Ovis aries: one gene and its partners. The protein of the gene in region 3 interacts with the protein of the main gene of each other region in a pairwise test. Links are inferred from orthologs where the notes say so. Each region holds a gene or a part of one and is shown on either strand. Other genes may lie near its edges.

The links.
Region 1: the proteins of MGAT5B (region 3) and DMRT3 interact in a two-hybrid assay, tested with the Homo sapiens proteins (2 studies listed by BioGRID). The two-hybrid records come from large-scale screens. The link is inferred for Ovis aries from reciprocal best matches to the Homo sapiens genes MGAT5B and DMRT3.
Region 2: the proteins of MGAT5B (region 3) and RBPMS interact in a two-hybrid assay, tested with the Homo sapiens proteins (2 studies listed by BioGRID and IntAct). The two-hybrid records come from large-scale screens. The link is inferred for Ovis aries from reciprocal best matches to the Homo sapiens genes MGAT5B and RBPMS.

What each region holds. Positions count from the first base shown.
Region 1 is NC_056055.1:69,238,677-69,242,420, reverse strand, and holds the start of DMRT3 (doublesex- and mab-3-related transcription factor 3), read right to left. Parts: upstream 2,283-3,744; 5' UTR 2,008-2,282; coding exon 1,557-2,007; intron 1-1,556. UniProt on the Homo sapiens protein: Probable transcription factor that plays a role in configuring the spinal circuits controlling stride in vertebrates.
Region 2 is NC_056079.1:25,628,209-25,631,952, reverse strand, and holds the start of RBPMS (RNA-binding protein with multiple splicing), read right to left. Parts: upstream 2,518-3,744; 5' UTR 2,070-2,517; coding exon 2,004-2,069; intron 1-2,003.
Region 3 is NC_056064.1:54,304,712-54,308,355, forward strand, and holds part of MGAT5B (alpha-1,6-mannosylglycoprotein 6-beta-N-acetylglucosaminyltransferase B), read right to left. Parts: intron 2,583-3,644; coding exon 2,470-2,582; intron 1-2,469. UniProt on the Homo sapiens protein: Glycosyltransferase that acts on alpha-linked mannose of N-glycans and O-mannosyl glycans.

The DNA of each region.
Region 1 (3,744 bases), on a different chromosome or scaffold from region 3:
CCTGCCCTAACTTAAAAGAGAAAAAGGTTCTTTCCCCTCCCCTCTGACTCCTCTGTGAAACATGAGATCACACTGACAAGAGAGAGTCACCAGGAAGTGAGTAGACATACTCAGGGAAAGGCTTATATCCATCCTACCCTGGATTAAACAGTCACAAAAGCCACGTTCAGCAAACTCACTTCTGTCTTTAAACACCCAGTTCTGCTCTTCACATAAGATGTTCTCAGAGGTTGGGTCTGCAGAGCATAACTGAGGAACAGGGCAGCAGAACTGAGCCTGCCAGGCGGCCTACCAGCTTATCCCCAAGAAATGGCATGTCCCCAGCTCCACCCAGCAATCCAGTGCTCCAGAAAGCCTCTCTCCAGAAACCAGAAGTATTGCATTTTGGAGGGGAGGCAGTTAGGGGTAGGCGGAAGCTCTACCATTAGTTCCACCCACAGGAGGGCTTTGGTCCTTCGAGAGCCTTCCACCTCTGAGTCCCAGCATACCTCTCAACCCTCTCCCTGAGAAGATGGGGTTTCTTTCCTTTGCACATCTGCCCCCAGTGAAAGGGAAACACCAAACACCTGTCCACTGAATTCCAAGGGGTTAAAAACCAAAGGAGCACTTGGGTTGGGCAGGACAGTCACAAGCTAGTAAGTCTCCAGGAGGAAAGGCTCCAGTGGGGTGTGCAAGGTTTTGGTGGCCTGAAGGAGGGAACTGGATAAAAAGGTGGGTAGGGGGATCTGCGCAGCTCCAGGACTCAGGGCAGACTCCTGCTCTCTAGAACACAGCGGAGGGGGAAGAGGAGAGGAGAGGGCCGCAGGAGGCCCAGGCCCACGGAGAACTGGGGAAAAGGCTCTCCAGGCGTGGCCTTCCTCACTGTAGCTCAGGTTTTGTCTTTCTTTAAAACGGCAGACTGCAGAGGACTGCCTGCGAAATGGTATTACAGGACCTGAACTCCTGCAAAAGGAGTTGGCTGGCTCTGGGTGCACCACATTGAGTCCCTGCTAACAGTTTTGGGAGTCTTTCTGGTCCCTTTCTACTCTTGCTTCTAAACAAGGCTTCCTTCAACAAACTGCACAAGGCTGGAGACCACAGCAGACTAGAAAGGCTTCAGGTTCGCTCCAGTTGCCGGGTGCCGAGAAAATCGCCCAGAGTAGGCCAAACCGTGGGCCTGGGCTCCTTCTCTGCCCTCCCGTCCCAACCTCCAGATGCGAGGCCTCTCAAGCCTACAGTCGAAAAGCCTGGAGTGTGTGCGCCCGCGTGGATTTTAATCTGGTCCTGTTTCGACCTCTTTATCTACCCGTCCCCTTAAACTTAGAGAAGGCACTTGGCGAGCCCGAGGCGCCTTTCCCGAGGGCACCTCGGTTCCACCTCCTACCTCGCCGGGTCCAGACTGAACGCCGCTTCCGCCGAGGGAGTAAGGACCGGCTTGGCTGGAGTTGGGGGGTAAGGTCGCGCCCAGCCCACTCCCGCCACACTCGCCTTCGGGCCTGCCGGCCAAAGCCTCCAGGGCTGCTTCCAAGTGTTTCCGACCGGGCGCAAGCCCGGCCCGGCCCCGCCGCGGCCCTTACCTGGCTTGGCGAGCGGCGCCTGCAGCGCCCCGGGCGGGGGCTCGGCGGCCCAGCGCAGCGCGGCGGCCGCAGCCAACTCGGCGGCTGGGCGCGACGGCTGCTGCGACGGCTGCGAGGTCGGCGGCGGCTGCGGGGCGGCGGCGGCGTCTCCCGGCGGCGGGGGTCCCGGCAGGGCGCGCAGCGAGTCGGGGATGAGGCTCTCGAGGCTCTCGTTGGCCTGCTGCCTGCGCAGCGCCACCTGCGCCGCCATGACCCGCTGCCGCTCGATGATGAGGATGCACTTCTCGCAGGTGCAGTCTTTGAAGCGGCAGTAGCGCTTGTGGCCCTTGAGCCAGGACAGCACGCCGTGGTTGCGGCAGCGCGCGCACTTGGGCGTGCGCTGCAGGGGCGCCCGCGGCGGCTGCGACACCGGGCCGCCCATGTACAGGTAGGGGGAGCCGTAGCCGTTCATGCCCCGGGCTCCCGACAGAGCTGGCAAGCTGGCGGCGGGAGCCGGTACGGGGCCGCTGGACGGCGGGGCTGAGAGGCCCTCTCCAAAGCGGCCTCCGGGCGGCGCAGTCCTCGGCCCCGCAGTCCAGGCGGCCTTGAGCGCTTCGGAGTGGCTGGAGGGGCCGCGGCCGTCTTTACGGCTCCCGACGGGCGCTTCCCTACTCCCGAGTCGGCCGAGTCTCCTCCCGCCGCTCCTTTGGCCGGCACGTCCTCCGCGGCCGAGGCGCGGCGGCGGCTGCCGGGAGCCGGCGAGAGCTCTGGTTAAGGTCTGAAGCGGCTCGTCCGCAGCTCCCGCGCGCAGACCGGCCGGCACGTCCTCTGCCGCCCTCCCCCCGCCTCCCTCCCCCGCCACCCCCACCTTCGGGGTCCCGGTCTCCTGGCACTCTCCACCCCACTCCACTCCACGCCTCCTTCCTCCTGCCCGCGCCTCTCGAGACCCTGCGCTTTACTCTCCCTGCTACCTGCCGCCGGGCCACTCTCACGGGGGCGCTCACGGCCCCCTCCTCCGCGCTCCCTGCGCCTCTCCTGCTTGCAAGGGAGGGACTGCAGCACTCGGGACGCGGCAGCGCCCGCGGGGCGGGGAAGGGAGGACCAGCGCGGATGAGGGTGAGGGTGCCTCTGGGCGAGGCGGGTGGCAGTTCCCCTTCAACTCTCTTCCCGCCTCCCTCCAGGCCCGATTTGGCGGCACCGGGCCCAAGGCGGCTTTCATTCCCACACTTGGCCACAGAAACACGGCTCGGGGAGATCCGGAACCTATCTGAGCGCTGCGGATACACTAGGGTCCCGGCGCGAGAAGAGGTTTTATGTTGCGGGGAGCCAGGTCCTGCGGCCACTGGCTGGAGAAATTGGGGGTAGGGCATTTGAACTGGTTCGAGAAATGGGGGCTTTCTTGATTTCTTTTTGCAAAGTTTTTTTTTTTTTTTTCTTTTTGCCGCTGCAGAAGAAAATGCTTTTGAAAACCTGCTGGTCCAAGGATGACGACCCGTTTTGCAGGCTGTTTCAAAGGGGAAAATAGTCCTCCCTCTGTGGCGCAGTTTACCTTTCTACACCTCCACGTTGTAACAAAAAATAAAGTCTCTGTTCTGAAAAGCCGGCAAATGCTCTTTTGGAGTTTGTGTTTAAGCACTGGGTCTAAACTTTCAGAGAGCGAATGAAGGGGCCACGCTAGTGCCCCCCAAGTTACCGCATATGATCTGAACCCTGCCCAACGGTCTTTGAGAAATCAAACGGAGGTCTCGCATCACCCCATTCAAATGCCCACGGACTCAGCAATCTAGTTATGAATAAGGGACGGGGCCACCCCACCCCCACACCAGTGTCTTTGGGTGGGAGAGGGCCTTTGCACAGATGACTGTAAAACTTTGTTTAAAGTGATACTTGTGTGTATGGGTTATGGCCTAAAGCAGAATACCTCCGCAAACACACAGAGATGCTCCCCTAATGGGAGAAAACAAGAAAAGCAGTGGTTACTGCGGCGCAGGGTAGCACAACGGCTCAGTGCGAAGAGGCGCGATGGCAATCCCGGAGCCGTCTTCAGAAGGCAGGCTTCAGAGAGCACCCTGAATTCATCTCTTGGCGGTCTGGACGAATCCAATGCGAATCCGGAGCGTAGACCAGTCGGCTGCAATGGTCAACCGGTCGGCGCCTCTCAGCTTTATTCTGCACTGCTTTGGAAGCAAACGAACAACCCGAAAACGTC
Region 2 (3,744 bases), on a different chromosome or scaffold from region 3:
ACAAGGCAATAGGACAGGTTAAGAGACAGCCATTGTATTGGGATCACCTGTGATTTTACTGGCACCCAACCTCGCACATATAAAGACACCCAGGGTTTGGGCAAACAGGCCAGTGCTGCAGGCAGTTAAGCTGAGCTGGGTCAAACAGAAAAACCTGAGTTTTCTATGCTTAATTCTGTCAAATAGTTTATGGTGTGCCAAAAAAAAAAAAAAAAAAGAAAATAGTCTTTGGTTTACCCTAATGAACTTTTACAAGTTTCTCTTTCTGGTGAAGAGAGAAAGATGGTTTCATATGTATGATACAGTCTTACCCTTAGAAGTCAACAGATCGCCAATCTAATGAAACAGAAAGGTTTCTGAAGCCATTGCAACTCCTTAAATAAAGCTACCTTTTTTATTAATTATAAAAAATAAAATACTCCAGCATTTAAAAAAAAAAACTACCTTTTATTTTTAAATTTTATTTCAGTGGTAGGGAAAATAAAATAGGAAAGTAGCCAGTGAGGTTCAAGAAAAAAAGCAGAACTTGCAATTCAAGTCTCCATCTTTCTGAAAGAGAAGAAATGTCAGTACTATTCCATCACTTGCAATTTAAAAAACCAGCATGTAAAAATAATGCTTTTCAGAACAGTTTATAATAATAAAGGCGATTTGCTCAGGTGAGACGGCAACGTCAGGCTCAACAGCATTTCACCTGGGTTGCACCCACGAACAACTGTGTTAAGAGTAAAATCTTGTGTTATTTTGCATAATATTTGGCTTGGTCTTGGAGCTCTCCTGTCTTCTCCATTTAAATAGTTCCCATTTTACAAGTGCTGAGGGCTTAAGTGTATTAAGTCCTCAGCAACCTTGGGCTTCACAATCAGAATTTTAGTTTACACACAACATAGTATTTCCATAATCATCTCAACACCCTAACCGCTTAGAAATCAGTTCACCTTTCTGTAAGAATGCTTTTATCTAGACTGCATACTTTCTTGCATCTACACATACTCTTAAGTTCCTTTTGGAATGTTTCAGAAGTCAATTTCCTGGGCTTTTCAAAAGGTAGGCGGAAAACAGTGTTTACTGGGTTCTAGATAATGCACCTACAAGTACAGAGCCCCATTTAACAAGATAACGCAAATATCCCAACTACAAAATTCTGAAAGGATTGTTCAGGAGTTCCCCGACATGTACTGAGTTTTGTTTCTACCAAAGGAACGCTCTGCAGCCGCAACATTTTTACCGTTGTTAGGGACGCACCACATAAAATTTACGCTCAGACGTCAAAGTCCTATTAAAACAGTCTGGATCAACACTTCGCGAGTTGCAAAGTCTGAAACTCCAGCATGCTGCGCCCCACAACCGCAACGCCCCTAAATTTACAAAACCTAATCAGCCAGGTTCGGGGTCTTTGACTCATCAGAGAAGAATGCGGCTGATGAGTTATCTATTAATCCAAAACGCCTTAGCTGGGAAAGATATTTCACCGAGAACTTTTCGCATAGAAACTGTGGGGGTTGGGGGGGGGCAGGGAACGGAAGGTGTCTTTTCATGAGAACTTTCCCCGAGTTTCTTCCCTAAACCACACAAACACACACCCCACAACTTCCAGCCCCGGACCCAGCACTAAGTGCTGACCCTCCGGGTCCCAATCATCTGAGGTCACCCAGGAGTCAGCTCTCGATTCCGCTTTTAAAATCCGGGGCAAACAAAGCTGACCATTATACTTACAGAGGTCTCGGGAAAGTCCTCAAAGTTACGCAATTTTCAGGCACGCAGACGCGCGTGGACCCACCAAAACACACTCTCCGATGATACACCCTCATCCCGTGGCCGCAGTCTGGGGCTGCGTCTCCACGCCAGGACGATTCCCAAACCCTCGGTGCCCCTTCCCCAGCGCAGCCCGGCGCCCCCGGACCCGCGCCCCGCCGGCCGGCCGGCCAGCCACCCGCACTCTGGGCAGAGCCCGCGGCCGCCGTCCCAGGTCGTCCCCGCCCCGGCACCGAGCCGCTCCGTACCTCTTCCTCCTGAAGGTTGGCCTCGCTCGGGGTGTTCTCCTTCTCGGCTTTGCCGCCGTTGTTCATCTTCCCGGTCCTCCCTCGCCGGGCAGGGCTGGGGCGCGGGGCTGGGCGAGGGCGCGCTCGCCCACTTCTCCCTTCCCCGGACGCCGCGGGCTGGAGTCGGGGCAGCGGCGGCCGGCGACTCAGGAAGTGCGAGGGGAAGACGGCGCAGGGCGAGGCGCCGGCGCAGCGCGGAGGGGACGGAGACAATCGCGACCCGCGAGGGAGACCTGGGGCGGGCGGGCGGGCGCGAGGGAAGGCAGGAAGGAAGAAAGGACGGGGCGAGGACGCGCGTCCCGGGAGTGAGTCCGCAGAGTTGGGGATGTGGCCGAGAGGGGCTGGGGGGCGGCCGCCGGCGCGGGCGTAGCAGCTGCTGGAAGGAGGGGCGAGGCGTACCCCGAGAGGAGCGGGAGGGAGGTGCGGGGCGGCGGGGACCCGGAGAGCCGCCGAGTGCGCGCTCCTGGCTGGCTCTGGGAGGTCCGGGCTCCGAGCAGCTCCCCTTCTCTCGCCTGCCTCCCTCCCCCCGCTCCCTCCTCCCTCCCCTCCTCCTCTCCCCGCCCTCCCTGGACGTGGGCTGCCGGCTGGAGCCCGGAGGGACGGGACGAGGGACGGCAGAGCCCCCCGCGGGAGGAGGGGCCGCGCCGAGGGCTGCGGCCCCGCGGCCGGATGGCGCGCGCTGGGGAGGGGCGGCGGGCGGCGGGCGGAAGCGGCGGACCCCGGCCCCCGGCTCCGCGGTAGGTCGGAGGGCGAGGGCCGAGGGGGAGGGCCGAAGGCTGGGTCCGCCTGGCACCTGGAGGCCGCCGGGCCGTGCGCGCAGCTCGGAGCGGGGCTCGGGCGCCCGGGAAGTGTGATGTGTTACTTTTGTGTGCTTGCTCGCTCTTCACGAGGGATTCGCTCCCCAATCCCTCCCCCTCCTCTTCAGTACCTAGTGGGCAGCTGGTAATGACAGGATGCGGGAACTGGGGTGACGTCCGGGGGCAGCCGGGGCCGGGCCGGCGTTTTCAGGGCGCATCTTCAGACCCCATCTCCGCGCCGGGTCCTCCGAAACTTCTCCGGCCGCCCTTGCTCGGACTCCTCTACGGCCCTTATCAGACTGTCCTGGAATTGTTTACCTGCCTCTCTCACCCTTTCGGGAGATCCTTCTTGGAAGACAAGACCGGGCCCTGTTTGTCTTTTGAATCCCATGGCAGTTTGAAAACGCTACCTGGTATATCGTAGGCACTCAATAAATATTTGTTGGTTGAGGGACCATTTCTCACTGCCAGCCGAGCTGGAGGCCAAGACATAATCTGAGGGTCAAAGCCACTGAAAGAAGGGAGACTCAGCATACTGGGAGGTGAGCGTACCATGCCTGTTGGCTCCCCACCCGCCGAAGGAAGAACTGCCTGGTTTCTGCTTCCTCCTCTGAAATAGAAGTAGTTCTATTCCTCTCCCAGAAGCTTGTTATTAGAGGAGATTGTAAATTGATAGATAAAACTATAGCACCTGGCACCCATTCGGACCCAGTTGTTGGCTATACTTGGAAGCTGACATGGTTCATTTCCACTTTTCCTGCGCCACCGAGAACTTTTCCAATATTGTATCATTTAAGCTTTCAAACTGAGTGACTGCCGCTGCTGCTAAGTCACTTCAGTCGTGTCCGACTCTGTGCGACCCCCATAGGCTCCCCCGTCCCTGGGATTCTCCAGGCAAGAATACT
Region 3 (3,644 bases):
AACAGCCCAGGGTCCGCCCCGGGGCAGAGTGGATAAATACATTGTGTCGTAGTCATACAATGGATGCTGCGCAGTGTCGGCAATCACTCGCCAGGAGAGGGGAGAATCTTACAAACGCAATATGGAGAGAAAAAATGTGCAGGCAACCGAACACCTGCCAGAGGGTGCCATCGTCATAAAGTCCGAGGGCGACACTCCTCTGTGTTATTAGATGTCAGGTCCCAGCGTCCGCGGGGAAGTGGAAAGTGGAAGGAAGCCTGAGGGTGCTTCTGGGGACGGATGATGCTCTGTCTCTGGATCTAGGTTGCTGAGTGCCTAGACAGGTTCAGTTTCTGAATACTATACTCTGATAGAAAAGGGCTTCCCTGTGGCTCAGATGGTAAAAAAATCCGCCTGCAGTGTGGGAAATCTAGGTTCAATTCCTGGGTCTGGAAGATTCCCAGGAGGAGGGCATGGCAACCCACTCTGGTATCCTTGCCTGGAGACTCCCCATGGACAGAGGAGCCTGGCGGGCTACAGTCCATGGGCCACAGAGAGTCAGACATGACTGAAGCGACTAAGCACACACACAGCACATACTCTGATGGAAAGTTTAAACATGTGCAACACACAACACACACACGCACACACACACGCACGCACACACACACACACACGCACACACACACACATGCCTCTAGTCTAACTGAGGGACCCTGGGCAAGTCCTCTCCCCTTGGTAGCTCTGCTCTCCCCTTAGACACAAGATCTAGGTTGGAGCTGGGCCCCTTCTCCCCATGCCAGGCAAAAGTGCATAGTACAGAGCAGAGCAAGACCCCCCAAGCCCTGGTCCTCTGAGCGCTGCCAGGATGGGGCCACCCTCAGGGCAATGAGCACACCCATACGCCCCTCCTCCAGCCTGATTCCCACCTCCTGGATCCCTGACCTTTCAGAGGTCAGCTTGCCCAAGGCCCCGAGGCAGCCCACCCAAACAGACACACCCCCTTGCCTGGGGTGGCCCCCAGATAGCCTGAACATCGCTCCTTATACCCCACCCCCGACTCTCAACCTCCCCCCACCCGTCCCCAAGCTACCCATCATGGGCACCTGCACAACTGCCTCACCCCCACCTCAAATCTCAATCCTCAGGAGTCTCCCACGCAGAGCTTCCAGGTCCTAGCACCTCTTTGGTCCTCTTCCCTAAACATCCTCTCCTGAGTCTCAGACTCAGCACATCCCATAAATGTTTGCAGAGCTCACACTCTCTGCCAGAAGCTGCTCAAGACCCTTCATCTATGTTATCTTCACGCCCCCTCATGCAATCATGGGGAAGTGGGCATTGTTAGCCCCGTTTACCAGAGGAGAAGACGGAGACTCAAAGAGACCGAGGGACCTCCATGAATCAGAGAAGGGGCAGATTCATTTGCATTCAGGTTTGAGTGACTAATAAATGTGAAATTCCTGCTGGGAGATTTTTACAAGTTAAGAGAAGTGCATGTTAAACTGAAGGGATGAATCTAAACAGGAGACACCAGATGGCAGAGTAAGTGCCCCTTAGAGCACCCACCCCAGACAACAACCCCTCCTGCTGGAGGGTTTATCCGTCACTGGGAAGAGGGGAGTCAGAAAGATGAGGCCTGGGGATTCGAGAAGGTGGATGTCAAACAAAGACTTCCCGGGAAGTGGGGGGAAGGGGAGAGTCCACAGAGCAGCCCCCTGAACAGTTCCAGAAACTCCCCCTTGCCTCAGTTTCCCCAATATGTCCCTCCTTCCCACAGTTACCGGGAGAGCCCCCATGACACACCGAGCAGGACTTTCTGAACCGCTCTCCATTCTTCCTTGAGCAGGATGGAGAGGGGCAGGACCCACCTTCAGGAGGAGGTCTCCCAGACCATCACCCGGTCACACCCCGTGCCGCGTGAGCTCATCCAATCTGACCCCTGAAAACAGTCACGCCTCTCCTTCTCCGCAAGTGAGTTAAGTGACCTGGCCAACGGCACCCAGCTGGTAGGTGATGAACCAGGTACAAACCAAGCCCATCTGGTCCCCAGAGCCCACGCTCTGAACCTCCATTCCCCTGCCTCACAAGTATCACGTGGGCAGGGACAAAGAACCACAGAGCTTGGAGATAAGACACATGAGCCCACAGCCAGTCTCGCCTGTGCTGTGGCCACACCCTGGGCCAAAGGGGCAGACAGCATGTGTCTCAGAGAGACAGGGGTCATATCCAGAGACCCCAAACTGCCCCACTAGTGGAGCAACACAGGCCGCCCCTTGTGATGCTGGGGAGCTCCTGGCTCAAAGGCCCTTCCTGACCTGGGAACCTGGGCCAGAAGGAGGTTGATGAGTATAGCCAGGTCAAGAGCTAAAGCCCTGACCACTCACACATCCACCAAGTGGCCAGACCCCCAGGAGAGGGCCCCAGAAAGACTCCTGCAGGGTGAGGCTCAAAGGACCCCAAGCCCCTACACCCCTTTCCCCACCAAGATACCTTCTGTGCGGATGGTGAAGGGGGAGTCCCCCGGGCGCCGGGCCGAGAACTGGCCTCCCAGAGACGTCATCAGGAAGCAGAGCGAGAAGAAGCCGATGCCCAGGACAAAAAGCCTGTGGAGAGCAATAGGGAGGGTCAGCACACGCACTCTGATGCCATAAAGGCTTCCTACGAATGAATGAGTGAGGAAGGGATGGATAAACGGAAGAGTAAAAGATCAGGGGGCTGAGCTCCCGGGCCAGTAGGTCTCCCACCACACAGGATAAAGAGAGCTGGACTAAGAGAAGTGACCATGAGCCACACACAAAAAACCACGAAGGACACTGAGGCACACAAGATGTGAGGTCGGGCAGCTCCTAGCCTCCAGACAGAAGCTGGGCCCTTGACAGCAGAGGGCCTCACAGTGTGGTCCCCAGGCCAGCAGCATCAACATCAGCTTGGACTCATTAGAAATGCTCATTCTTGGGCCCCAGTCCCCGGCTTAGGGAATCACACACTCTGGGAGGGGGATAAACAGTGTGTTTGAATAGGTTCTCCTGGTCACCCAGATACACGTTCAAGTTTGAGGACCACTGGTATAGGTGAAGACAGCAGAACTCGATGCCAGTTAGAGGGCAAGTAATTGGTCCAGACAAAACCCACCTGGATCCCATCAATCACCTGGAACACGGTCAGCTCCTGTGCACACAGGCCTTGCTGCTGCAACCAGTCATGAGCTCGCTTGAACACTGCCTTGTCATGTTCAGGGTGGGGGTAGGGGTGGAGGGGAGACGCCCGTTACTACCAGATGGTAACGTCTAGAAGGGCAGGGTCATGTGGCCACCCTCTGTGTCCAGACTCTCCCTAGCCCACAGCTTCACCAGGCAGGCACATGGGAGCTTGCACCACGGACTGGTCAGAGTAAGTCAACCCCTGTGTAAAGAGTGTCACACAAGTGTGTGCTGTCAGTGTTCCGGGGAGTTGATCAAAACACAACTGTTCATACTTCAACACGTAGCACTTGATTACATGCCAAGTGGCACTAGGGAATCTCTGGGGGACACCAGTAGGGAACCCACCGTCACATCTCGCCCCAGGCTCCTGCGGCTCCTATACTACATTCTGGGCCAATCCAGCCTTAGGGCAGCAGAGGTGGAAGCTGTTCTGGGACTTTGACTCTATTTGAGGACTTGCCG